7 linked regions of the Sus scrofa genome follow. The protein of the gene in region 7 interacts with the protein of the main gene of each other region in a pairwise test. Links are inferred from orthologs where the notes say so. Each region holds a gene or a part of one and is shown on either strand. Other genes may lie near its edges. The genes, in order: NIF3L1, REL, RPL9, MAPK3, NUDT18, EIF5A2 and DHPS.

Region 1 (4,297 bases), on a different chromosome or scaffold from region 7:
TAATTCAATAAAACTCTATTTTACTAGACATATGAAGTAGATTCTAGAGAGGCCTGAGCTTTCAGTTAACAAGCATTTCTGGAGTGCCCAAATGCTAGGCACTGTGCTCCATGAGTAAGGAATCACAAAATTTAGTCAAAAATAAAGACTTCTGGAGTTCCCGTCGTGGCGCAGTGGTTAACGAATCCAACTAGGAACCATGAGGTTGCGGGTTTGGTCCCTGCCCTTGCTCAGTGGGTTAACGATCCGGGGTTGCCGTGAGCTGTGGTGTAGGTTGCAGATGCGGCTCGGATCCCGCGTTGCTGTGGCTCTGGCGTAGGCCGGTGGCTACAGTTCCGATTCGACCCCCCCTAGCCTGGGAACCTCCATATGCCGTGGGAGCAGCCCCAAAGAAATAGCAAAAAGACAAATAAATAAATAAATAAATAAAGACTTCTGATGAACTCCTTATTCATTAAGGATAAAAAGAGAAAAAGAAAAGAAAACAAAACAAAACACTTTTTTTTGGCTGCACCCACAGCCCTTGGAAATTCCCAGCCACAGCTGCAACCTGGACTGCTGCAGTGACAATGCCGGGGATCCTTAATCCATTACAGCACAAGAGAACTCCCCAAATTTTCATTTTTCAGTGCAATTTAACTGTCAAGTTTCAGCAAGATTATTTTAAAATACATAAAAACAGAATAATGGTCCTCCCCCTTATAGTGGTTAACACACTACAGGAAAGACATTCTAAAATTTCACATCATTGGTAGGGAAAATACTAAGCATGAAAGACCAATAGGCTTCTCACCAAGCCCTTTAGCCAACCAGTGGTTGACTCCCTGGGGGGCAGCATCATAGGCTGTGTGAGGAGAGTAGATCCCAACTCGGTTCTCGAGTGCCCGGATCACCAGGCGTTCCTTCCAGCTTTTCCAGGTGATTCGCTTCATGGGTCGGAAAATGGGCGGATGGTAGGAGAGAATGAGATCGGCCTTCTTCTGCAGTGCCTCCTCCATCACTTCCTCTGTCAAGTCATTGGTGAGGAAGAGGGTGCTCACCGTGTGTGGTGGGCTTGGTTCCACCAGTAATCCAACATTGTCCCAACTTTCAGCAAATGAGAGGGATGCAAAGTCATTCAAGGAAGAAAGGAGGGCCTTCAAATCCATGAAGGAACGGGAAGAACTGCAGATCAGGGAATGAACAAATCGGACTGTCGTGGAGGCCAGGCGTACACGGGATAACAACATAGAGAAGTCAGGTGAAACCGAGTATCTGATGTCAAAACACTGAAAATGAAATACACGTGCACTTCAGACTCTGACCTTTGAGACAGCAAAGCATATGAGCAGAAGAGCTGCCATCCTTCAACCGAGGTTCAAGTACTGGCTTTGCTACTTACCAGCACGTCGTATCATAGCTAAGTCATTTAACTCCTCTGAGCTTGTCTTCGAATCTACAAAATGGAGGGACTATAACTTACCTCACGGGCCATCTGGAGAAGCAAATGGATTACTATGTTTAAGTCACCAGGAACAAGCCTGGTAGATAACACACAATTATGTTCATCTCCTTCCTGCCCCCACCCCACATCCTTGTTCTTGCTCACCCCATCCTTGCTTGAACCAGCCTTCTCCATTTCTCTATTACCCTTCTTTCCAAGTCCCCTTTGACTTCCTAAATAAAGCTTTTCTTAACAAACCTTCCTTTTCTGTGTCCCCCTCCCCCATCCCACCTGCTTCTGCCCTAGTTTTTCTTATGTTACATTCCTGTTTTCTGTCTCCCACAGTACTGGCAAGCTACCAGAGAACAGGAACTATCTCTTCTGTATCTCAGTATCACCAATACAGGCCAGTGCTAAATGCTTACTGCACAGACCGGCACAGTCTCCATTCCCTTATCACAGCAGAATTAAGTTATGGTGGTAGAGACAAACATTAAAAGGTGCTTTATGGGAAAAAAGTAACAACAACATATTTTAAAAATGAAGTGTTTTGTCAGCAGCCAGAATCATGGGATGCGTACGTGGATCACTCTATGAATGGGCAGCAAATGGGCCCCAAACCATATTCAGTATATGGTTTGGAGTCATGTGGAGCCTCCACAAACCACTGGAGCCTGGGGTCTTTGAAGATCTTCTAAGGGTCCTTATACCACTTCCACTCTCCAGATTCCCTGACACTACTCCAACTCCCCAGACTTCTAAATCTGGCAAGCGCTAAAGTGAAGCTCTAGTGGGCCACCACACTGGTTTTGAGTTATCTATTGTTAGATCTGAAGCAGCCCTTGGAAATAACAAAACCACCATTTCCTATGAATCTACAAGCTGCGTAGCTCATTAACAAGAATAGGAGGCAGCAGGGCACAGTGTGAAGGGCACCTGACCCTAAAACCAGACTGACTCCCCGAGCCGCAGCTGTCTAAACAGATTACTCTATCTCTGCGGTTCCCATCTCTGAAGAATAGAATAGCGTTCAGCTCACGGTATCGTCGCAAGATTTCACCGTAAAGTTGGAGAAAATGCTTGGCCTAAAGTCAGCACTGCTTGTTAATAAGTATTATTAGCAGGACCCACTTTACAGCCTGTGAACCTCGCCCTCTTATTTCAGCCCCACTTCAAGCCTTTTCCAGAACAATTAAAAGTGCGGGGAGCACAGTGGGCAAGCCGCGAGTCAGGACCCTGGCCGCTCTAGAACCCTAGGCTCTGGTGCAGCAAACCGGTTTTCTGCGCCTATCTCCTCCCCCGCCTCCTTTCGCGGCAGCACCCCCAAAACCTCAGCCTGCAAGGGCCACAGCGCGCCGACAGGGCCTCATTGCCGCACGCAGGAATCTAACCCACCGGAGAATCACCAGTCCCAGGTTGCCAAGAGCGCTACTTCCGGTCCTGCGCAGAACTTCCTGGAGGCGTAAAAGTGGGCGGGGCGGGGGAGCTGGGCGGAAGAGGTCTTTCCTATTTTGCATCTGAGTTCAGGGGCGCCTGTAGGGATTGCCCAACATTACGCCTTTTGTCCTAGTGTGATTATTTAAGAAGTTCTCTAAGGTCAAAGGAGTTCCTGATGGGGATAAATTACATCCTCTCCCTCGTTCTGGTCGGTTGGGTTTGGGATAGGGAGGAGGAGGAAGGAGGTGAGCAGAGGAGGGGCGTTCTCCTAAGTGGGTCTCCTGCTCGACTTCCGGGTGGCGGCCTGAAGAAACTTTCTTGGAATTTACAGACTCTCCGGAGCACCTGTTATTGAATCTTTGCTGTTTTAACAACAGCTGTGGGCAGAGCCTCCTTGCCTGACCACTTGAATTTCTCACAAGCTTCCTATCTTAATCTATTTCTTGACTAAAAAAATATCTGTATTCAGTGAAGTGGTTAAGTAAGTATGGGGTAGCGTCACTTACTCTTTCATTCACTTGAACACTGGAAGAGCGCTCTATGCTTTAGTTTTTAAGCTGCTTGGAGTGAGTATTCTGGAGGGGAGGGTGTTGTTGAATTAAGCAATTAAAGCATATAATATATTAGTGCTAAGTGCTTTAGGGAAAGGAAATCTTTAAGACAGTATTAAATAGATTTATCAGGTCAATGAGACTTAACTTTTGAGCAGCGACTTGGAGGTGAGGGAAATAGCCGTACTGAGTGTAAGTGTTCCAGGCGAAGGGAAAACCCAATGCTAGGCTTAAGGCAGAAATGTATCAGACTCTTCTTGAAGAGTAAGCAGGGGAAGTAGGAGTTTAGGGGCTGGAGATGAGTAGGATTGCTTGATCGCTTCCACAACCGGATTACTTGGGAGGGATCTGTTCTCCTCGAGAATTTTTCTTTTAAATATGCAGGAAACATGAGCATGTTTGAGTTAAAAGAGGGAAATGAATTAATTCTTTTTCTTTTGGAAATAGAGGCTCGTTTTTGAACTTCTGTCAATAAACTGTAAGAAAGTAACAGTACATCCTGAAACCATCAAGAAGAAAAATGGTAAGTTTTATAGAATTCTTATGAATGTCTTTGTATATATAATTTTTAGAAATCTAGTCAAGGGAAATAAAACTGCATGGAGATTTCAATGACAAGACAAATGATAAGCTGTAGAAGTGTAGAGTATAAAATGATTCTAAACAAAACCGAAACAAAATCACTTTAAAATTCTTATGTTTTTCGGAGTTCCCATTGTGGCTCAGTGGTAACAAATCTGACTAGCCTCCATGAGGATTCAGGTTCGATCCCTGGCCTTGCTCAGTGGGTTAAGGATCCCGTGTTGCCGTCAGCTGTGGTGTAGGTTGCAGATTTGGCTTGGATCCCAGGTTGCCATGGCTTTGGTGTAGGCCAGCAGCTGTAGCT
Region 2 (3,550 bases), on a different chromosome or scaffold from region 7:
GTTTCCTCCGTCCCTCAGTTGTTCTCCTAAAACTGGAGAATATGAAATGACTTTTACTCTTTGGAGACCCATTAACTGAAATTCTGATATTTATCTTTCACAGTTCAAAAATACCTTTTTTTTTTTTTTTGCTTTTTACGGCCACACTTGTGGCATATGGAGGTTTCCAGGCTAGGGGTCTCATCGGAGCTACAGCTGCCAGCCTACACCATAGCTGCAGCAACACAGGATCTGAGCCGCATCTGTGACCTACACCACAGCTCATGACAGCGCCAGATCCTTAACCCACTGAGAGAGGCCAGGGATCGAACCTGCAACCTCACGGTTCCTAGTCAGATTCGTTTCCAATGCGCCACGACAGGAACTCCCAAAATACCTTTATAGGACCTTGGAAATTATATTTTCACAATTAACTGGAATGAAATTTTCTATGCCAAAATAACCAAAATCATTTTATAGGTATTTGTGAAACAATAAGCATTAGAGAAGTCAATTCTGGACTCCTGTAATAGTTACCATTTTTATTTGAAATGTTACATTAATTTCCTTGAAAATTTTTAGTGTGTTTATGTAATTTTAATTTAGAAATAATACTTTTAATAATTTCGTTCATTTCAGTTTTGTAAAAATACATTTCATCTCCCACAGAATCAAACTTGTTTTCTCATGGTGCAGTTTTGACAGAAACATCCAGGCCAGTTTCAAGTCAAGCAGAATCCTACTATTCCTCATCCATCTCAAGTGCATTGTCACATCCTGCTTCAACCATACCCACAATGGTACCTCAGCCTTCTTCAAGCTGGTCATCAGTGGCCCGCCCCACCTCACGCTCAGTCAATACAAATTCACTGAGTGGTTTCTCACCAGGGACCCTTTCCTCTAATTCACATGTTATCACGCCATTCCTGGAAATGCCTGTTATGAATGATCTGAATACTTCTAATGCTTGCATTTATAATAATACAAATGACATAGGCAGAATGGAAGCATCGTCTGTGTCACCAGCTGACTTATATGGTATTTCTGATGCCAGCATGCTGCCTCATTGTCCTGTGAACATGATAACGCCCAGTAACGACAGCATGAGGGAGACTGATAATCCGAGACTTGTGAGCGTGAATCTTGAAAACCCTTCCTGTAATTCAGTGTTAGACCCAAGAGACTTGAGACAGCTCCATCAGATGTCGTCTTCCAGTATGTCAACAGTCACCAGCTCCAGTACTACTGCTTTTGTTTCCCAGTCAGAGGCATTTGAGGGATCTGACTTTAATTGTGCAGATAACAGTATGATAAACGAGTCAGGACCATCAAACAGTACTAATCCAAACAGTCATGGTTTTGTTCAAAATAGTCAGTATTCAGGTATTGGCACTACGCAGAATGAACAATTGAGTGACTCATTTGCATTTGAGTTTTTTTAGGTTAACTTGTAAGATTTAAATGGTGAATTAATTAAATCTCTTGGAGTTCCCATTGTGGCTCAGTGAAAATGAACCTGACCAGTGTCCATGATGATGCAGGTTCAATCCCAGGCCTTGCTCAGTGGGTTAAGGATTTGGTATTGCCACAAGCTTCCATGTAGGTTGCAGACGTGGTTTGGATCTCACTTTGCTGGGGCATGGGCTGGCAGCTTGAGCGCCAGTTCGACCCCTAGCCTGGGAACTTCCATATGCCGTGGGTGCGGCCATAAAAATTTTAAAAATAAAAAACAAAATAAAGGAAACTTCTAAAAAAAGAATTCAATCTCTTTAAAGGTTGTCACCATTTTGATTTTATCTATGTAGATGCAAAATTTTATATTTCTCTGACTACAACTGTGACACAAGGGAGTTTTTTGGTTATGTTTTAGGGATGATAGTTCAAAAACATATTTATCAGAGGGAATAGTATCTTGAACAACACATGTTTGAACTGTGTGGTCCATTGTGCAGTACACAGATTTTTTTTTTACTGTTCAAGTACTGCAGTACTACACGATTTGAGACGGGCTGAATTCATGGATGCAGAATTGCAGAGACAGGAGGCCATCTGTAGAGTTTTAAAGTTAAACATGGATTTTCCACTGTACAGAGGCTCAGTGCCCCAACCCCTGTGTTGTTCAAGGGTCAACTGTAATTATAACTTTAGGTATGTAGAGGATGGATTGCTCTAACAGGCAGTCTTGGCTTGGGAGCTTCTTGTTTTGCTGGCAGAGAATTTGTCGAGATAAAATGAAAGATGAATTCTCAGTGCTTGAAGCTGCAGCTTAAAAAGGGAGATGAACTCATTTCCCACTTTCAGGAAGAGCTAGAAAAATTTGTCCAGCATTTACAGAAGACTTTTGCTTCAAAAGTAGATAAATCCACACAGACCGAACTCCTAGGCTGTGATGCATTGTGGAATCCTACATACAATTAAACTGGGAATTTCCTGGTGGCCTAGTGGTTAAGGACTCAGCATTGTCACTGCTATGGCTCGGGTTCCGTCTCTGGCCTGGGAACTTCCGTGTGCTATGAGTATGGCCAAAAAACCCCCCCTTTAAACCTGTATATACTCTTGGTATGCAGAATACAAAGTTGGAAACAGTCACAAAAGGAAAATTTTCCAAAATAGAAATTTAAAAGGGCTTTACTATTTCTTCTTTTATTATTTTTTTTTTTTTTCCTTTTGAAGACATGTGATCTCATTCTGTGTGTGGTGGGAATTGTCTTGAGAGTCCTGTCACTTTTTCGCAAGACAGACTGAGAACATTATAGCAAGGCTATAATGTTTTTCCAGGTACACTTTTTTGGTTTTTTAATTTTAATTTTTATTTATTTTTGGGGAGGTTTTTTTGTTTGTTTGTTTGTTTTTTGCTTTTTAGGGCATATGGAAGTTCCCATGCTAGGGGTTGAATCAAAGCTGCAGCTGCTGGCCTATACCACAGGCACAGCAATGCAGGATCCTTAACCCACTAAGCAAGGCGAGGGATCAAACCTGTGTCCCCATGGATACTAGTCAGATTAGTTACCACTGAGCCATTATGGGAACTCCCCTGAGCACTCTTTTATACTTCTTTTATGATGTATTAATATATTCTTAGTTAAGTGAACTAATTCATATTTGCTTTTAAGCAAATTGAAGGTAAAACCTGTAATGGCTATGCCATTGGAAAAATTAATTCCTTATTATTTTTGAGGCCCATGGGCCAAGGTGACCCCTAAGGGGTTTTCTGAGGCTTCTTGGAGTTTCCTAGATTTACATGTAAATAAAAATTTCTTTAAAATGCCAAATTGAGAGGGAACATACCTTGATATAATAAAAGCCATTTATGACAAATCCACAGCAAATACTCAATGGAGAAAAGCTGAAAGCCTTTTTCCACTAAAATCTGAAACAAGGATGCCCACTCTCACCACTTTATTCAACATAGTATTGGAAGTCCTGGTCACAACAACCAGACAAACAAAAGAAATAAAAGATATCCAAATTGGAAGAGGAGAAGTAAAATTATCACTGTATGCAGATGACGTGATACTACATATAGAAAACCCTAAGGACTCCACACAAAAACTGCTTGAACTGATCAACA
Region 3 (4,278 bases), on a different chromosome or scaffold from region 7:
ACTGAGCCACGACGGGAACTCCCATCATTGTCATTTTTTTAAACTATCACCCACACCAAAGCTTCACAGCAATTTTATTTATTTTTTGCTTTTTATGGCTGCACCTGCCAGTCTACACCACAGCCACAGCAACGCCAGATCCTTAACCCACTGAGCAAGGCCAGGGATAGAACCCACATCCTCATGGACACTAGTTCGGTCTGTAACTGCTGAATCACAAAGGGAACTCCCTCAGAACAATTTTAAATACATTTGTTTCTGTCTCCTCAATGGACTGCAAAGCTCCTAAGGAAGCAGATATTTTACTACCTCCTTTGCCCGTGGTGAACAATGCTAGCCTCCTATTAAAGTATAACTCTAAAGCCCTTCATCTTGGGCATTAGGCTAACATACTGAATTACTATGGTATGCCAGAGGGCCAGAATTGAGAATATCAAGACACCACCGCCGCCCCCCGCAAACAAAGACTGGAAACACAAGGGGAGACATGGCCTGAAAGGCTTATAATGGAGTTGCGTACAGGGTGCCGCTATCAGATTGCGCTCTAGAAAGGCTGAAACAGAAACACTCCAGCAAATATCCAGAATCAACTTTACCTTAAAGACTGAAAGCTCAGAAATAAGACTTAATCTTTCCCTAATTCCCACAAGATACCCTGGTGGTGAGAGGCATAAGACAAGAAACCAACCATTCTATGTGTTAACATTTTCTATTAAAAACCCCCCTGAAATTGTGAATGTTATCTTTCGGGTAAAACAAATATATATATAATCAGCGTATTATCAAGACCATCTGGTCTAGACTTATGTATCTCCCTTTATCATAAGACCCAGGAATACCTAACACATTTGCCAAGATCACCTTTTCCAAAATACTACAGCCGCTAAGTTATATGCAAGTATAAGTTACTCGCACAAAGTATTTTCTACAATAGACATTTATGTTGCATACATAAAGATAGCTGACAAACCTCCCCCTTCTAAGACAAGAAGTCTGATTAATCTGCTTACCAGTGTAACACCCTTGATCATATTCTGTACATGACTACAGATGGTGCGAACAGTTGCCAGTTCCTTTCTATTTCCCCACCATTTGTCAACCCGGAGCTGTAACAGAACAAAAACTTCAGAAAATTCTTTCCAGTATTAAGTAGCCTTGAAATAAGGTCCATTTATCCACAGTAATTACTCTAGATTCTAGTATTTGTCCTAATTACAAAAAAAAAAAGCAACCACAAAGCCCTCAGCAATTAACGGTTTTTGTTACTATACATTAGAAGTATACACTTTCACAGAGGAACAACCCAGAAAGTTTTGTACAAGTTGCATCAAACTTCACTTCTGGAAAGCTAAAATACCAGGTTCAAAAGAACTCTGCTGCACCACTATGATCCTTACAAAACAATCAAGAAAAATAAACCCAATTTCTAACAGTATTAAGGCCTGCTATTTAATAAATATTACCAGTACTGAGGTTTATAACCCAGTTTACTTTGGTTTTCCAATTTCACTAAAGCACCGACAACAAAAAAAAAAACTAGTTACAATTTTGGACACTAAATTATAAGATAAAACATTGAACCTCAATTCCATAATTTCTCAAAAGTTTTTATTTCTTCTATTATGGTTGACTTACAACATTCCATCAACTTCTGCTTTAAAGTCACTCATTCATACATATAAATATTCATTCCTTTTCTCACATTATCCTCCTTCATGTTCCATCACAAGTGACTGTAGTTCCCTATGCTGTACAGCAGGATCTCATTGCTTATCCACTCCAAATGCAATGTTTGCATCTACTAACCCCAAACTCCCAGTCCATCCCACTCCCTCCGCCTAGACTAGAACAGACTAGAACCAATAGTCTGTTCCCCAAGTCCAAGAGTTTCTTTTCTGTAGGTAAATTCTTTGGTGCTGTTAGACTCCAGAGAAAAAATTATCCATCAAATGGTATGTCTTTCTCTAACGTACCTCACTTGGTATGAGTCTCTATTCCATCCATGTTGCTGCTCAATTCTGTAGTTTTTAAAACAACTTGATATTCTTAAATTACAACTTTCCAAACAAACTGAGGTGATTAAACAAAACTCACCCTCTTCTTTTTCTTTCCAAGGAGACTGAGTTCTACATTGATGTGGTTGAAGTCCCTCCTCAGAGTGCCTCTGGGGCCCTTCACAATGACTGTGCGTCCTTTTAGTGTGATGTCGACTATGAAAGAAACATACTCGTGAGGCATCGAAACAAATTAGAACGCACGCAGTAAAAACATATGAAAAAAGCAAGCACCAAGTCTCCTACCATTTTCTGGAATGTCGACAGTCTGATTGCTGAGAATGGTCTTCATTCTGAAACACAAACACTTGGGTAAGAAGGTCGCACAGGATTTGTTTTGGGCCGAACTACCTTGCACAGAACTCCACTCCTACCAGAGACCGGCAGGCAAAAATCTCGGGGAGGATACAGAGGACTAATCCCGGAAACGGCCCCAGCTGCGCCTTGGCTTGGAAGGAGCAGCTCCTAAACAGTTATTAAAAACCCAGCGGGCGAACTCCCGGTCAGCGCAGCTCTGGGAAGTCCTATCAAGTCGGCGCCATCCCGGCAAGGCTGAAGGGCGGCAGTAGGCCTAAAAGCCCAATACAAGGCTCGAACCCCATCGCCACCAGACTCATATGACGCTCGCCGCGCAGGGAGACAAACAAGACACGGTTTCCGAGGGCCACACCCGCACCTCTGGCTTTCCCAAAGCCGATGCCTTCAGATTCCCAAGGCCCACCGAATACAGAATCCACCTTACCTCGCAGTAGATGCGGCAAAGAGAGAGCGTCTTTCGTCATCACGCTTTTGTAGTACGTAAGGGTCCTGCGTATGGCGTCATAAGCGCGCGACACCACGAGGCTAAAGCAGCCAATCGTAGAGCAGCGCAGGTTCCACCGGGTCAGTGTTGGCTCAGGTTGTTTGTCATAAGTGGAGCGACGGTGTGTCCTTCTCTTTTCCCGGGAATTAGTGATTGTTCCTCCCTGCCAGAAAAAAAAAGTGCAGGATGGCTCTACGCTGCCGGGGCGCCGTCCGCACTGTATGCCCCCGGGTGAGCGGCGGGGCGAAAAGGGAGCGGGCGTGGGGTGGGGGTTCCCATCCCTGAAAGTGCCCGATAATGCCAGCGCTTACCCGGCGTTTACTTCTAGCCAGGTACTGTTCTAAACATTTTTCGTATAGCGTCTCATTTAATTCTGACATGGTCATGAAGTTAAGACCTGATACTGGTTTTTTTGTAAGTCTGTGGCCCGCGCTCTGAGACCTTTTTTCCTGCTATCAATGCAATGATTTGTACTCTTGTATTTATTGGAGCACTATAGAAGCGCTGCAATGAAACTCCAAATTACTACTTGGTGTTGGTGTCTCCTGTGTACTAGACACCACTTTGGGCGATTAAAACCCAAGTCTGTGCTCCAGGCTTGAGCGAGAGACCTGGGCAAGTACAGTAGCTATCGTGCAGCATCCTAATAGGCACTCTTTTTTTTTTTTTTTTTTTTTTTTAATAGTTGAAGGTTCTTTTGCTTTAACAGTACTACCTCTTGAATTTTATGGTGTTTTGTCTGTCTTGTACATGTATGTGTTCAAATCTAGAAACCGATGGCTTCTTATGGTCAACAAATACATGAGTGACTTCCTTGTTCACACACAGTATAACCAAGAAAATTAAAACATTAGGTTTAGTTTCCCTTCTTCCACTTCTCTGAAATCAGCTGAGAACTACCTCCGTGTTTTAGCAGGTATTCTTATTCAAGCCCAAAGCAGAGAGATTAATTTCAAATTTCATTTAAACATACTTGACTCAAGTCAGGAATAGAAAATTCAAAGCTGTAGCTCCCATTCTCCTTTGGGTTTGGTTTGTTCTCCTTGGGTCATCTTTAATTTCAGATTCTGAGCTCCTTACATTGAGCTCGTAAATAGATTAACATAATTTCTGAATCAGTTCTGTGGCTTTACCCATCCTTTTAGGTATTAAACGAGTTTAATACTAAGTTATTCCAAAGCCCCCTAAATAAATGTCACAATGAACTCTTTCTGTAGGTATTTGGAAGATATTTATGCAGTCCAGTCAGAGCAATAAGTTCCTTGCCAGATAAAAAAAAGGAATTTTTACAGAATGGACCAGACCTTCAAGATTTTCTATCTGGTGATCTTGCAGACAAGAGCACCTGGGATGACTATAAAGGAAACCTAAAACGCCAGAAAGGAGAAAGGTAATTGAAATTTTGAGGTAATTTTAATGTCC
Region 4 (4,305 bases), on a different chromosome or scaffold from region 7:
TGTGCAAGACAAATGAGGAGAAACCCCCAACAGCAGGCTCCTACTCAGGGTGCTTGGCCATACACCCGAAGATCGAGGGGTATATGAGTCCTTTTAGATCCTAAGATAAAACAGATTAAACATAAAGAAATGTCACATGACTTGTTTCTGGAAGAATAAATTAGGACTGTCAGAATCGGCCTCAAAAGGGCCTTCTGAGAACATCCGGACCAACCCTGCTGCGTTGTTTGTTGTTGTTTTTTCTTTCTGCTTTTTAGGGCCACACCTGCAGCATATGGAAGTTCCCAGGCCAGGGGAAGAATGGGAGCTGCAGCTGCCAGCCCATGCCACAGCCACAGCCACAACCACGCGGGATCCGAGCCGAGTCTGCGACCTACACCACAGCTCATGACAATGCTGGATCCCCAACCCACTGAGGCAGGGGATCGAACTCGCATCCTCCTGGATACTGGTGGAGTTTGTTACCGCCGAGCCACGACGGCAACTTCCCCTGTTTTAAAGATAAGGAAGCCCAGCAAGGTGCAGTGACTTGGTTAAGGTCACACGGGAAGCTGGGGGTAAGCATGGAGATTTCCTGCCCACACTTTGTGGTGGGGGCTGCAGACACTGCAGTACAAATCCCCACTCTTGGGTGGAGGACTGGGACTGGGGGGTGGGGTAGGGGAGAGGCAATGGGTGTTACGAGCTGCTAACAGTGCCAGGCAGGAAGTGGACAACAAGCTAGGAAAGTGGCAATGGGGGGAGGGCAACGAAGGCAAGGCTGACCCTCCCTGGGCAAGGTGCAAGTCCACGGGGGATCAGGGTGGGGATCTAAGCGGGAAGTCCCAGAGACAGGAGGACAGGTTCTCATCTGGGGGAAGGGTGGAGGCAGCCACAGGCACCTGACGTTGGCCTTTCTGAGCCTCAGTCTCCTCCTCTTTGAAATGGGGCTGATGAGCCCCAGCGCAGAGGGCAGCTGGGGGTCAGATTAAGAAATGTCGACGCACTCGGTGCACAATGCACCCAGACTCATAGTAGGCCCTCAAAAAGGGGGCACTTTTCTTCCTTCGAGTCCGAGGACCCAGGCAAGAAAGAATCGCCCTCTGTTAAACAAAAGAACTGACTGTGGGCAGAGGCTGGGTCACGTCACAGGACGGCAGATGTCACAAGACAAAGCTCCCATAGACACCATCTTCCCCAGCCCCCTCCTGGGGCAGAGCTTAGAGAACAGACTTGCCCAAGGCCACACGGCCTGGCCGGTCCTCGTACACCTTGTGGCCTCTTTCTGCTGGAAAGTCTGTTGAACTGGGGTTGTCTGGAAGGGTGGTAGGGAAGAAGGAAACAGAAAGCAAGCCAACATTCTCCCAGCCCAGCTCTGAAGCTGTGCCCGGCCAGCCGTCTGGCCAAGGTGAAGGATACACATCCCTCATGGCTTCCAGGGTGGGTGCCCGCAGAATGTCTCGGATGCCAATGACGTTCTCGTGGCGGAAGCGTAGCAAGATCTGGATCTCTCGCAAGGTCCGCTGGCAGTAGGTCTGATGCTCAAAAGGGCTGATTTTCTTGATGGCCACTCGAGTCTTGCGCACATGGTCGTAAGCTGAGCTGAGAGGGCCGGAGAGATGTTGGTGGTGTGGCCTTACCAAGCGGGGGGAGTCCAGGCCCGGCGGCGGGCCCCACCCAGGCCTTGGCAGGGAGGGGAGGGAGCAGGAGAGACTGGCCAGAGCCAGTCATAAACAATGCTGGTTCCTTCCTGCTGTGAAGGCCTGGGATCTCCAGGGAGAAAGCTGGGGACCAGCCAGGCAGCCCTTCAGTGACTTCACAAACAGAGGAAGGGACTGACCGATCGCTGACTTCCCTTCTCCTCAACCCTTTCCATTCTAGTGGCCCTCACCCCTCATCCTCCCCTTCCCCGGATGGGCTCCCTCTACCCAAGACAGGGCCAGGGGCGGGAGGTGTGAGGGACATACAGGGAGGCGAATCCAGGAAGAAGGAGGGATGGGAGAGAAGGGATGCAGCAGGGGCGGGTGTCAGGGGGAGGTTCCCGGGCAGCAGAGCTAATCCCTGATGAACAAAGGCCCAGGGCCCCCAGTGGGGCTGGGAGAACTCACAGAGCCCTCCTGAAAGTTGCAAGAAGGCACTCCGGGACCCCCTCATTGCTCACTGGGTCCCTGGCCCCAGGCCCAAAGCCCTGCCCCACCCTGTCCAGCCCTGAGCTCTGCTCTTCTCTCCCAAACTCCTAGATTCGACTCCCGGGGGGCAGATCCCAGGCGCCCTTTCCCTGGGAAGGGTCCTTCCTGCCGTTTTCACCAAGGATATGACCTCCCCCAGAAGACTTATTCTCTTCTCTTCGCCCTGTGGCTATAGACTGCCCAAGGTCCCCACAGCTCCCCCACCTAGAGGCCCTTCCCTTCATTAGAGAAGGTTCCCCTCAAAACCCCCCAAGCCCCCCTCTTCTTAGATCGTAGGCAGCGCCCCCTCCCCCAGAAAGCACTCCAAGGCCCTCTCCCTGGGGCGCTCTCCAGCCTCCCGAAGCCCCTGCGGCTTCACGATGCTCAGAGACCCCAAGGCCTTAGAGAGCTCTCAGCACCCCTCCCTGGGATCGCCCTCCTCTAAGACGCCCCCTCCCCTGGAACGCCCCTCACCTGACCATGCCGTACGCGCCCTCGCCGATGTATTGCAGCTGCGTGTAGCGCGGGCCCACGTCGAACGGCTGCCCCTTTACTATCTCCACTTCCCCCGGGACCCCAGGGCCGACCCCATCGGCTCCCCGGGGCTCCCCGCCCCCGCCCCCCTGAGCCGCCGCCGCCGCCGCCATCTCCACTCCTCCCCTCCCGCCCGCCCGCCTCCCCCCCCGGCGGCCCCGCCCCTTCCCGCCCGCCCTGTCACCCGCGGAGCCGCGCGCGCGCCAGACCCCGCCCCCGCCCGCCCCCGCGCCCGTCACGTGACCCCCACCCCCCCGCAGCGGCGCCCAGCTTTCTGGGCACGGATGCCATGGTCCCTGGCACTTGTGGGCTCCGTCTACTCGGTCAATCTAGAAGCTCCCCAGGGCCGTCTGAGACGGTCCAGAACCCCACTCCCCCCCTCCAATGCAGAACAGCCAGTAGGGCCGCCCCAGTGACCTCACCCAGAGCCACCAAACAAGGGCTGGGATGAGGGGCCAAGACTGGGCCGCCTGGTCCCCGCTGCTTTTGCCAGCCCCACTCAGCCCGGCTGAGTGGTCCGGCTCCAGATGGAACCTTAGGGGACCCTCACCAGCCCTCTGGCGTTTGGCCTCCCTGAGCCCGGCCCGATGCTAAGTGATCCCATGCATATTTCACAAAAGCGGTGGGAGATGGCTTTCTCCTAGAGGTAGCCTGCCTTTCACAAATGAGGAAACTGAAGGCTGAGCAGCGCAAGGTCCTTTGGAATCGCGCAGACAACTTGAGATCTGGAAAGCCCAGGTGTCCGGACTCCCAGCCTAATGGCTTTTGACTGGAGGCCTGCCAGAGTGGGCTAGGGACCTGGCCTCAGCACCCAGGCGGTACTGGTATCCCCAGGATCATATCATTGATGATCCCATGCTTCCTTTACAGGGAAAGGGGGGGAGAGTCCAGAGAGCTGCATGCAAGGTTGACACGATCAGGCTTTGCCCAAATATAGCAAGACGGGTAACTTTTTTTCTGTCATTGGATTTGGCAAAAATTGGAATCCTGTTAAGATCATCATATTTTGATTCTGTATGAGACTTGAACATATACTTAATACTTGGCCCACTCTAGTCGCTTCATTAGAACAATCCCACAATATAAACGTCAACTGCTTTTCTTTCTTTTTTTTCTTTTTGCTTTTCAGGGCCACACCCACGGCATATAGAGGTTCCCAGGCTAGGGGTCCAATTGGAGCTACAGCTGCCGGCCTACACCACAGCCACAGACACGCCAGATCTGAGCCGTGTCTGTGACCTACACCACAGCTCAGGGCAACACTGGATCCTTAACCCACTGAGCAAGGCCAGGGATCGAACCCACAACCTCATGGCTCTGGTCAGATTTGTTAACCACTGTGACACGACGGGAACTTCTCATCTGCCTTTCTTAACTGGGTAGGCAGGGGCCATGTCTTTCTTGTTCATGGCTGAATCCTCGACCCTCAGACACTCAAAAAAAAAAAAATTAATGGATGAATCAAGTTTTACAGAACAGGAAATCTGGAGTTGGGGAGCTGAGACTCAACATGGTGTCTTCTGACAGAGAAGCAGAGGCTCTTTTTAATTCCATTCTGTTTCCCAGAATCAGAGTCTGCTAAAAAACTGGAGAGAGGGCCCACCCAGTCCATCTCCCTTACTTC
Region 5 (4,121 bases), on a different chromosome or scaffold from region 7:
TCCTCATGGATAGATGCTAGTTGAGTTTGTTACCACTGAGCCACAGTGGGAATGCCCCACCACCACCTTCCTGCTCATTCCCTCCCCGCAGAGACAATGAGGTGAGAAGGCAAAGTGAGCAACACCTCTTTACTCAGCCAGGGACCCACTCCCTTGGAATGACCTTCCTCAGTGCCCCCTCCCTGTTCCAAGTGCCCAAGGATCCGGATGAAGCCTTCACTGAGGCAGGCCTGGAAAATGATGAGGCGATGCCACCCCTGGTTCAGAAAGTCCTCACATCCCCTTAGGGAGTCATGCCATCATTGTCCCCTTGGGCAACTGGGTCTATGAGCTCTGCTTGATTGAAGGCACTGTCTCTTTTGGTGCAATGCAGAAACCTGGTCCATGGTGATGAGAGACAGAAGTCTCCCTCGGAGCCAGGAGAACTGTCCTGGTTCTGATGTGACAAGATCCCTGACTGCCAACCCTGTCCCCCTTAGAGGAGGCAAAGCCTCCTCTAAAGCAGAGATGCCCATGTCCTGGCCCACAGACAGCAGCCTCCTATCTATTGATTGGGACCACAGATGATTCCTGAAGCCTCTGTAAGAGCTGGCTTTGTAGGTCTTCCTCCACCTTCCACCAAAAGAAGTTCTCACCCCGAACCTTTGGGGGCTCATTTTGGATACCTGGATTCCGGAAAGCCACCGTCACCAGCACGTTTAAGCAGATGCCATCCGTTTGGTCTCTGCCCAGGTGCTGCAGTCCAAGCAACCCCTTGGTCTCCACTGCCAAATGGTGCAGGGTCAGGCACTCCTGTAGCAGCCTCAGGACAGCCATCTTGATGCCACCCCTCTGGTCCATGGGAGCAAAGCCACAGGCGGTGATGGGCAAGTGAGGCATCCCCACAGTGCCAACCAGCACCCACACTGTCTGGACACTGGTAAAGGTGGCCACAAGCCGCTGGCAGATCAAACTGCAGGGAAGCTCTTGGGGCAGAATGAGAGGGTGCCTGGCTTGCTGGCGATACTGCACGGCTAGCTCTACCAAGTGCAGAATGTCATGGGCTCGAAGTGGAGTGGGCAGAGAGGTTCGTGGGTACCAGCCAGCCTGCAAGGACTCTGCATCTGCTTCCTTGGAAGTCTTAAGAATTCCACCTGGGATAGATGTGGGGGAAAAGGACGTGGAAAAAGTCTGTTGAGGGAAGTGCTGGACCTGGCAGAATAAAGGCCCACCCAGGAATCGAGCTCTGACCCAGCAGGTGCACAGGAGGCCCTGAGTCAAGTCTCAAACTGGAATCTGGCGATGCCAGGCTTGAACCAGCCAGAACAGGGGTTCAGCTCACCTGAGAACAAGCTGGGGAAATGGTGTCAACTGCCCCTGCCCACACTGCCACCCACTGGGCCATACCTGTAGGGCGAGCAAGGAACACGAAGCGGATCCAGGAGGGGCCCCGCTCCTCCAAGGACAGCAGTGTCAGAGGCTCACAGTGCAGCCCAGCCTCCTCCTTCACCTCCCGCTGCAGCGCCTCCACGATGGTCTCCCCAGGCTCCATCCTCCCCGCGGGTAGGTACCACGACCCACGGCACTCTTTCTTGGCTTCCTGGACGAGTAGCACCTCATCCTGAGGGGAGAGAGAGGATTCTTAGCCACCACAGCTGGGCTGGGAGCTCCAGGGGAGTGGGACAGCCAGCAACCTTCACTTGCCGAGATCAAAGCTCAGGTACAGCTGCTAGTGGACACCCTGAAATTGCTGAGCTCCCCAGGGGCCTGGCCCTTGTGTGTTGGTAGATTGCAGCTGTCTCTGCAATTCATCCCACTTTGTATTCAAGTTTCCATTTCAGAAGGGGGCTGAGATTCCTGTGAGCTGCTTCAGGGGCCAGAGAACAGGCCTCACAGCGAGGGTTGTTACCATGTGCCCCGCCATGATTTCTGTCTGCACCAGTCAATGATCTCTCCCACCTCCCTCGTGGTTTATAAACTGCTTGTGGCCAGTCTTCACACTGGGCTGTCAGCTTTGAAACACACCCCAAACCATGGCCCCATTGAACTCCTACCTATGGCCCTGACGCCTTCTAGCTCTTTTTACAAGCCACTTATGCAGGGATCTACACCAAAATGAGCATCACACAGGAAGTCAGAAGGTCAGAGTGTAAGCGCAGGTTGTGCAGTTACTGCCCATGGGACCCAAGGGGGGAATCTCTGAAGAACTGGACAGATCTTTTAAAAAAAAAACCACGTCGCGGCGGGCACTTTGCTAGATTCTGGGGAAAAGAGGAGGAAGAGACAGCCCTCTCCTCAAGAAACTGAGGCCTAGTGGGATGAGACAGACGGCTCCTGGGCCTCAGTTTCCTCCTCTGTACTTCGTGACAATTGCAGGGCTCGGCCGCACCAGGCTCAGATATAAGTGTAAGAGTGCTTTGCAAAACTGGGAAGAGCCACACACCAGGAAGCGGTGGCTGCTGCCGGTAGGTCCTCGGTCCCCACCGGGGCTGGCTGCGCGCTCCGGAGGTCCGGGCGGTGGGCCCGACCGGCGGACGCTCACCTGCTCGTTGAGGAACACGGCCAGCACCACGTAGCAGACATTCTTCCGCAGCCGCACGGGCGCCAGCGGCTCCCCGGCCGGTTTCGAATCGCAGCTCTGTACCCGCAGACCCCGGCCCCCCAGAACGGCCGCCAGCGCCCCCGCAAGGCCTTCCGAGGCCATCGGGTCCCCTAAAAGGCGATGGGGAGGGCCCCGAAGACCCGCCGAGAAGGGTAGGGTGGACGTGGGTGACCAAGGGACTCGTCGCCCCCAACCCCTCCCCCTGCGGGCTCGGGCGGAGAGCGCTCGCGAACGCGGAAGCACCCGGCAGGCCCTGGCCGCTGATAGGCTACGCGTCACCGCGGCCGGCTAGGATTGGCTAGAGCGTGTTCGTCACTGTGAGGCGGAGCCAGTCCATAAGGGGCTGGGCGCCGCGCCCCCGCTCTGCGGCCCCCGGCAGGCTTCTGACGCTCGGTGGCTCCCTCCTTTCTCCCCGGCGTCTCCCGCCGCCAGCCTCGCTAATTCCTCCCGCGCGCACTTGTCTGAACGGGTTCCGACGGTGACGTCACCCTGCCCGCAGGCTGCGGAGCGCCGCAGCCGCCAGCGACGGTGACGTCACAAGCCCGATGCTGTCACCGGGTCCGCCCACGGCTTGGACCCACTGGCTAGCTTTTGTCATAAACATACCACTGCATTACCTGAAATGACACTGCCCAAATAACCTTTCTTCGCTTAGAATGTCACGGGGCAAGGAGGACGAGAGCTCCTGCCTTGGAGGAGATTCCGATCCAGCTGGAGAGGTGGCCATAGCTATATAATGGAAAGTCAATGGACTTAATAAGCCAAGTGCTAAATGACTGGTTTGGGCAGGAATTGCTACAGGCGCTCAGAGGAGGGAGGGAGCAGAGCTGGGAAGGTCAAGGTGTGCCTGGCGGTGGGAGGCTGGGAGGCGAGGATTTGATGCAGAGAAAGGGCCTGGGATCAGCCCTCAGCAGTGTCCCTGGTCCCTCGCCTCCGGCGGCCACATTTCCCAATCATCAGTTTCAGGGCCCTCTCCCGCCAGGGGCGGGGTTCTGCCTTTTGTCATTGTTGCACACACACACCCCTAACACTTTCACAGGGCCTGGTCCATTGACAGCCAGGTGCGGGTTGTTTTTTGGGGAGCTCCTGCCTCTCCCCTGGCCTGACCTTGCCTCCTCAGAGCGTCTTTAACCTCCTCTCAGGACAGGGAGGCAGGGCCAGCTGGCATGAAACTGAAACCAGCCATTTCTGAGCTGCTCAGCCCCAGTGAGATCTCCCATTTCCCTTCTGCTGGCTTTGGGCACATCCCTTTTGGGGTGACAGTTGCTTGGTGGAGCAGACAAAGCATTGGACTTGGAGCTGGATGCCCAGCCACTGCTCCCTGGCTGATCTGTGCCCTGAGTAAGTTGTGGGCCTGTTCCCTCATCTGTACAGTAAGCTCCTGACAGCTCTTCCTTCCCAGGGCTGTCGGGAAGGTGAGACGTCGTGAGAGGAGCCCGGTAGACTGCGAAGTGTGGGTCACCATCAACAGGCAGCCCACCAACCTTCTGGCCACAGCACTTGTTGCTACCACACAAAGACCCACTTTCACAAGATGTGC
Region 6 (4,230 bases), on a different chromosome or scaffold from region 7:
AAAAAAAAAAAAATTATACAACACAGTATAAGGTATAGAAAGAAATCAGCTTAAATTGGATAAAACAAATCTGAGTATTACACTTGTATATTTCACTGTGTAAAATGAATAGAAAAGAGTTCAATACAAGATAAAAAAATTGAAGACTTTCAAGATTAATCTGAGCTCCCACATCCTATGAGGTCAGTGGTTTAGTTACCAAGAATACTCCAAACAAGAAAGTGCTATCATTAAATATGACTTATCCAAATGTATAACTGTAACTAAAAATTGCAGTTTATACACATAATTTAACCAAAGGTCACAGCACGGTCATGGAACATAAATAAAACAATTACAAAGTTTTTGTATTTTCGGATTTCCCATAGTGGCTTGGTAGTTAACGAATCTGACTAGGAACCATGAGGTTTCAGGTTCGATCCCTGGCCTTGCTCAGTGGGTTAGGGATCTGGTGTTGCCGTAAGCTGTGGTGTGGGTAGTAGACACAGCTTGGATCCCATGTTGCTATTGCTGTGGCTCAGGCGTAGGCCAGCAGCTACAGTTCCAATTGGACCCCCAGCCTGGGAGCCTCCATGTGCTGCATGTGCGGCCCTAGAAAAGGCAAAAAGACAAAAAAACCCAAAAAACAGAGTTTTTGTATTTTCTTCACCATATTCAGTGACGCTATATTTTATACACTTTCAACTAATTTCCCCATTTAAGAACACCAAATTCTGACACACATTCATTAATATGCACAAACTTGGTCGGCAGAAGATGAATTCCAATAATTTCTTGAGCACCTGAAGTCTGATAAGTGAAAAGAAATACCCAGGAGGGAGTTATCTAAACTTGAAATAATTTATAACAAAGAGAATAGTAATTTTAATAAACACTGGACTAACAATAGGGAGTCAGTCACTTGATCTGAGAAACAATGATTGTTCGAATTTTAAAAAATGCAAGAATGTTTAAAAATGCAGACTAGCTATCATCCTAGTTAAGGTACAGGTGTTAAATATTACTATTTCTCCAATCTTCTATGGTAAGTGGTACCTAATAATTGGTTAGAAAAACCTACAAAACTACTTGTGGGTTTTATTAAATTACAATGGCAGTAGAAAGTATCTGCACCTTGAGGACATGAATAGTATTCTAAAGGAAATTAGTACTTACTTGATAATCATTTCTCTTAATATTTGGAACATCCATGTTGTGAGTGGAAGGGCAAATATCTTCATACTTTTTGCCAGTGAAAATATCAATTCCAACAAGGTGAACCTAACAGAGAAAGGAGAACAGGAAACCTGTTTAATCTTTGCCAAGATATCACTCATTACATACACAGGAGCATAATACCAGCACTGATTATGACAGATTCTTTCACCTTCCAAGGTCATCTAATTTTACTTTCTTAAAAAAAAAAATGTAGTGGCATACAACTGAGAAGCAGTGAACAACTAAAGAATATCATGACATATCAAGACCCAATATCATATAGTCTAATAATTCAGTCATAAGAATGCTTAAGAAAAATGAAGTTAGGTTCCTTAGAATGATGTTAGGTTTTTTCATTTGTAAACTAAATAGACTAAGTTACTAGGATTCAGGAAAGTTTCAGTTTACAGTTAATGAAACATTATAAGAGCCGAAGAAGGAAATATTACCTTTCAGTATTCAAATAGCTAATCACCCAGTAACTATGGGATATTAAACAATTATAAGTACAGAAAACTCATGTTCTGTAATGGAATACAAATAATCAAAATCCCAACCCCGAGATAGACCTGAAAGGGCATTTACCTTGGCATGACCGTGCTTTCCAGTTTTGGAAGTTGACATCTCCACTATTTTGCATGGTCGACCTTTGAGCACCACGAAGCCGTTTTTGCGCAGGGCCGAACACTGCATAGGGTAAGTGCTGGAAGCTCCAGCATCTCCAGTAGTGAAATCAATTTCATCCGCCATGGTGGGCTGGGAAGATGGTTGCTTTTCTGAGGGAACTATGCAAAAAGTTTGTTTGCTTTTTAACAACTGGCATGCAGGCAGGGAAACCCCTCATTTCGGGTTTCCAAGCATTATGGGTCTATTATTTTTGCATTTATAGAACACCCACCCAGAAGAGTAGGGACTTTCTAACTCTGGCCTTACAAACTTTTCCATCCTCTGGTAGGGAGGTGGGAGGGAAGTCGAAGAAAAGCTGGCTGTGGATGGGGAATCCCCGCCTTGGGCGCTCACCCGCGCTGAGGGCAGCAAATCCCGGCCCCCACAGTCCCATCGCAGAAGAAGCTGGCGACCTTCCCGCACTGTGCCGCGCAGTCTGGCCCTCCGCAGCCGCCCGGATCCCCACTGTGGGGGGGCCCAGCCCAGGCCGCACGTCCCCGCGAAGGATGGGGATAACAGCACCTGGCCAGCAGCACTTGGCCCTCGGGCAGCGTGTGCGCACTTCTCCTCCCAGCCCGCAGCGCCGTCACCTCGACCTCTCAGACGCCCCCTGTCCTGCCAGCATCCCCGGCCCGGTCCCGCACGGGCCTGAGCCCTGGCGGGTCCCGCGCTCGCCTCGGTCCCCCATCCATCCTTCCTTTTTTCCTCGGTTGGGGCTGGGCTCTGGCCGGCTTCTTCTGCCCTGCCTCGCTCCGGTCCCGGCCCCACCAGCCTTTCCCCTATTCTTCACCTTTCAGCCGGGAAAGAGTGCCTTTTGCCTGCGCACCGGTGCGGGTCCCCCACAGCTGCGGCGGCGGCAGCTGTGGCGGCCGCCGCAGTTCCAAGAGACGGGGCGGGGCCGTCACACTTTCCACACCCCGGCCTCCCCGCCCTTTCCCGCCCCCACCTCAGCTCCACTTCCGGGATAGGTCCCGGCGCGTCATAGGCACCGCCCTCTCGCGCTACCATTGGCTACATGGTTCCCGAGGGCCCGCCCAGTCACGTGAAGAGCGACCTGGCAACCCCACGTGCTGCGGATTAGTGCACTTCCGGCGTGAAGAGCACTTTCTGGAGTTCGGTTGTTGAGGGTAAACACGCCGGCAAGGAAACTTGTTCCCTCAAACTTTTGAGTTCTTTGCGTTGGCGTCTCAGTTGAAGTTAAGGAGAACCAAGCCACGCGCTCCGTGGCCTTTGCCCTCAGGTGCCAGGCGGTTGTCACGTGACAGCTGTCAGACTTCGCGAGGCTTGATAATTCAATGGTTATCCCTTGTGGCTGTGGAGGGAACTTTGGGTTCCCATTTCTGGCCCAACTTGCAGCCCTTCTTGGCTTTCAAAACCATGCTTCTTCCTTGGGGAAGAGCCAATGTAGTCTACCTGGCCCCCACTGCAGGCTGTGCGGGTGACCCCAGCCACCCATGATGAGGTTCTGGCAGCCACTGCCACTGGTGCCCCGCCTGGATCAGCAGCGCTCTGGCGGGGCAGGGGAAGAGGAGGCTGAGACGTCCAAGAACTAAAAAGCTGTGGAATGACCTAACTCACTTCTCACACCGGACGCTGTTGCGGAGTTTTGGAGGCAAATGAGTGTCAGATTCCTACTGCGTTATCCAGCAGAAAGATGTTCTTGCCAAACTCAGCTCTTCCTTCGTCCTGGAATTGCCTTCCTTCAAGTCTGAGGTGTGTCCATACCTCATTAGAGCAGTTTGGTTTGTCTTGGAATCAACGTGGTACCAATAGCGACTTGAATAGGATTAGGACGAAGATTCTTTTTTTTTTTTTTTTTTTTTTTTTTTTGTCTTTTTGCCATTTCTTGGGCCGCTCCTGCGGCATATGGAGGTTCCCAGGCTAGGGGTCGAATCGGAGCTGCAGCCACTGGCCTACTCCAGAGCCACAGCAACGTGGGATCGGAGCCGCGTCTGCAACCTACACCACAGCTCAAGGCAACGCCGGATCGTTAACCCACTGAGCAAGGGCGGGGACCAAACCCGCAACCGCATGGTTCCTAGTCGGATTCGTTAACCACTGCGCCACGACGGGAACTCCAGGACGAAGATTCTTAAAAAGAGATGTGTTCTGGAGTTCCCATCGTGGCGCAGTGGTTAACGAATCCGACTAGGAACCATGCGGTTGCGGGTTTGGTCCCCGCCCTTGCTCAGTGGGTTAACGATCCGGCATTGCAGTGAGCTGTGGTAAACGTTGCAGACGCGGCTGGGATCCCATGTTGCTGTGGCTCTGGCATAGGCCAGTGGCTACAGCTCTGATTGAACCCCTAGCCTGGGAACCTCCACATGCCGCGGGAGTGGCCCTAGAAAAGACCAAAAAAAAAAAAAA
Region 7 (2,149 bases):
GCAGGGTGATGAAGGAAGTGAGCACTAAGACCGTCAAGTTGGCAGGTGGAGCCCAGGTGGCAGCAGGGGGGTGGGGAAGCGGGGACCCACATGAGAGTCATCAGTTCCTAGGCTAAAGGCCAAGCCAAGAGGATTTACTGACAAAGGGATGTCAGGTGTGAGAGAAAGATTCGAGGTGTTTGGCCTCAGCACCTGGAAGAATGAGTGACCGAGGGGTTCAGTTTGGAGCTGGTTAGGTTTATGGTATCTTAGAAGCAATTACCGGCCTGTGGCTGAGAGCAGGGGAGAGGCGACTGAGGGGAGAGAGACACTGATGACCACTCCCTACCCCCTCCCTCCACAGGGTGTCCTGGTGCTGGCCCTGCCCGTGGGTCCCAGTGTGGTGCAGTCACTGGCCTACCACCCCACGGAGCCCTGCCTGTTGACCGCCATGGGGGGCAGTGTCCAGTGCTGGCGGGAAGAGGCCTATGAAGCTGACTGAGGGGGGCGCAGGTTGAAGCCAGGGGACCCACTACCAAGGACACAGAGAGACCGCCTGAGAAGGACCACTGAGACCATTTATTCTAGAGATGCTGTTGACCAGGGAGTGGGGAAGAGGCTGGCTGGGTCTGCAAACTAATAAATAAAGGAGGGGTGAGGCCTCCCTGGGGCTGCACCATCCAGTGTTCAGTCCTCGTTCTTTTCGGGCATAAAGGCATTGGCCTTCTGGGCAAAGGTTTCAGCCACGAGCAGTGGGAAGACCAGGGAAGCATCAGCATAGACCTGTGGGGGGGATGGCGGGGGAGACCCAGGTGAGCCAAGGGACCTGTGGCCACAGCCTGGGAGACCCTGTGCCCCAGCTGGCTGGCCAGCCCTCACCTTGACCGGCTGTGCATCCATCCGGATCTTGCCCCAAGAGACAGCCTCATCGGGCCGGGCGCCTGAATCAGAGCCATCAAACTCCTGGGCTGTGTTGATGTAGACCGCATAGTCAGCCCCATTCCGCTATGGGGAGGGGCAGAGTGGGCTGGTCAGCCAGACACATCCCAAGGCAGGGCACCACAGCCAGAGGCTGCTGAGGGCTCCATCCCATATAAAAGAAGCCCTGGTGACCCCTCCCTCCAAGGGAAAGGCCCAGTGTCAACATCTGGGTAGAGTGAGGAGCTGGGGGATGCCAGGCAGACAGTGGGCAGCGCTGCTCCAGACTCACTTCCTAGGTAGCAACAGCCCTCCAACATTTGCCACCAACTCAACAAGAGACTTCCAAACCTAAGTATCTCTCCCCTCTCTATGCGCCATCCCCTCCCCTCCCGCCATTTGTTCCCCCAGAGGGCACTTTTGAGCACTTGAGTGGCCCTCAAGGCCCCCGCCCTGCACTTTGAATCACCTCCCCCACCCTCACCTCCCACTCTCCTTCACCAGCCTCCTAACTGTTCCTTGACCAACTTCAGGCACCTGAGAACCTTTGCACAAACTGTTATCTCCCCCACCCTCCAGCCGGCCACATAACCACATTCCTCACAGGGGCACGCCCTGAAAACCTCTGCTCATAGGTCACATTTTTTTGTTTTTCCTTTTTTTTGGCTTTTTAGGGCCGCACCCATGGCATATGGAGATTCCCAGGGTAGGGGTCTAATTGGAGCTACAGCTGCCGGCCTACACCACAGCTCATGGCAACGCTGGATCCTTAACCCACTGAGCGAGATGAGGGATCGAACCCAAAACCTCATGGTTCCTAGTCGGATTCATTTCCGCTGCGCCATGACAGGAACTCCATGGTTTCCCTTTTTTGAACAGCACCCCTTTCTCTTCCCATCTCACCATCCTCCCTTATTTTTCTCCATAGCAGTCACTGCCACCTGCTATACATGTCACTCGTTCCACTGTCTATATCCCCGACTAGAACATCAGTTCCAGGAAGACAGAGATCCTGGCCTGTCCAGTCCACAGCTGTCTCCCCAGCATGTGGCATGAGACCAGCCTGTCTGCACGGCAGGCCACCCCTACTAGGGACCACACATACCCCATCCCTGCTCACCATGAGGTTGGCGTTGGCAATGTGGTGCTTGACCATGCCACCACCCAGGATGATCATCCCAGAGCGCTTGGCGAAGATGGCCTGTGTGTTGATGAGCCTCAGGTCTGGGAGAGGGGGCTGTGTCAGGCCACA

What was found.
Region 1: the proteins of DHPS (region 7) and NIF3L1 interact in binary tests that used the Homo sapiens proteins (3 or more experiments, as listed by UniProt). The two-hybrid records come from large-scale screens. The link is inferred for Sus scrofa from reciprocal best matches to the Homo sapiens genes DHPS and NIF3L1.
Region 2: the proteins of DHPS (region 7) and REL interact in binary tests that used the Homo sapiens proteins (3 or more experiments, as listed by UniProt). The two-hybrid records come from large-scale screens. The link is inferred for Sus scrofa from reciprocal best matches to the Homo sapiens genes DHPS and REL.
Region 3: the proteins of DHPS (region 7) and RPL9 interact in binary tests that used the Homo sapiens proteins (3 or more experiments, as listed by UniProt). The two-hybrid records come from large-scale screens. The link is inferred for Sus scrofa from reciprocal best matches to the Homo sapiens genes DHPS and RPL9.
Region 4: the proteins of DHPS (region 7) and MAPK3 interact in binary tests that used the Homo sapiens proteins (3 or more experiments, as listed by UniProt). The link is inferred for Sus scrofa from reciprocal best matches to the Homo sapiens genes DHPS and MAPK3.
Region 5: the proteins of DHPS (region 7) and NUDT18 interact in binary tests that used the Homo sapiens proteins (3 or more experiments, as listed by UniProt). The two-hybrid records come from large-scale screens. The link is inferred for Sus scrofa from reciprocal best matches to the Homo sapiens genes DHPS and NUDT18.
Region 6: the proteins of DHPS (region 7) and EIF5A2 interact in binary tests that used the Homo sapiens proteins (3 or more experiments, as listed by UniProt). The two-hybrid records come from large-scale screens. The link is inferred for Sus scrofa from reciprocal best matches to the Homo sapiens genes DHPS and EIF5A2.

What each region holds. Positions count from the first base shown.
Region 1 is NC_010457.5:104,582,330-104,586,626, reverse strand, and holds the start of NIF3L1 (NIF3-like protein 1), read right to left. Parts: upstream 2,827-4,297; 5' UTR 1,619-2,826; coding exon 1,463-1,618; exon of another isoform or gene 1,269-1,462; coding exon 794-1,268; intron 1-793. Other genes in the region: PPIL3 (peptidyl-prolyl cis-trans isomerase-like 3), read left to right, coding at 3,932-3,934. UniProt on the Homo sapiens protein: May function as a transcriptional corepressor through its interaction with COPS2, negatively regulating the expression of genes involved in neuronal differentiation.
Region 2 is NC_010445.4:80,874,226-80,877,775, reverse strand, and holds part of REL (proto-oncogene c-Rel), read left to right. Parts: intron 1-648; coding exon 649-1,421; 3' UTR 1,422-3,550. UniProt on the Homo sapiens protein: Proto-oncogene that may play a role in differentiation and lymphopoiesis.
Region 3 is NC_010450.4:30,696,371-30,700,648, forward strand, and holds the start of RPL9 (60S ribosomal protein L9), read right to left. Parts: upstream 2,820-4,278; 5' UTR 2,797-2,819; exon of another isoform or gene 2,731-2,796; intron 2,348-2,730; 5' UTR 2,347-2,347; coding exon 2,301-2,346; intron 2,211-2,300; coding exon 2,095-2,210; intron 1,107-2,094; coding exon 1,011-1,106; intron 1-1,010. Other genes in the region: LIAS (lipoyl synthase, mitochondrial), read left to right, coding at 3,078-3,188, 4,074-4,246.
Region 4 is NC_010445.4:18,296,596-18,300,900, forward strand, and holds the start of MAPK3 (mitogen-activated protein kinase 3), read right to left. Parts: upstream 2,816-4,305; 5' UTR 2,795-2,815; coding exon 2,622-2,794; intron 1,582-2,621; coding exon 1,399-1,581; intron 1-1,398.
Region 5 is NC_010456.5:6,378,875-6,382,995, forward strand, and holds NUDT18 (8-oxo-dGDP phosphatase NUDT18), read right to left. Parts: upstream 2,839-4,121; 5' UTR 2,684-2,838; coding exon 2,522-2,683; intron 1,601-2,521; coding exon 1,387-1,600; intron 1,134-1,386; coding exon 541-1,133; 3' UTR 113-540; downstream 1-112. UniProt on the Homo sapiens protein: Mediates the hydrolysis of oxidized nucleoside diphosphate derivatives. Hydrolyzes 8-oxo-7,8-dihydroguanine (8-oxo-Gua)-containing deoxyribo- and ribonucleoside diphosphates to the monophosphates. Hydrolyzes 8-oxo-dGDP and 8-oxo-GDP with the same efficiencies.
Region 6 is NC_010455.5:109,527,651-109,531,880, forward strand, and holds the start of EIF5A2 (eukaryotic translation initiation factor 5A-2), read right to left. Parts: upstream 2,801-4,230; 5' UTR 2,654-2,800; intron 1,983-2,653; 5' UTR 1,948-1,982; coding exon 1,783-1,947; intron 1,261-1,782; coding exon 1,156-1,260; intron 1-1,155. UniProt on the Homo sapiens protein: Translation factor that promotes translation elongation and termination, particularly upon ribosome stalling at specific amino acid sequence contexts.
Region 7 is NC_010444.4:66,306,161-66,308,309, reverse strand, and holds the end of DHPS (deoxyhypusine synthase), read right to left. Parts: intron 2,122-2,149; coding exon 2,018-2,121; intron 985-2,017; coding exon 859-984; intron 763-858; coding exon 667-762; 3' UTR 537-666; downstream 1-536. Other genes in the region: WDR83 (WD repeat domain-containing protein 83), read left to right, coding at 344-481. UniProt on the Homo sapiens protein: Catalyzes the NAD-dependent oxidative cleavage of spermidine and the subsequent transfer of the butylamine moiety of spermidine to the epsilon-amino group of a critical lysine residue of the eIF-5A precursor protein to form the intermediate deoxyhypusine residue.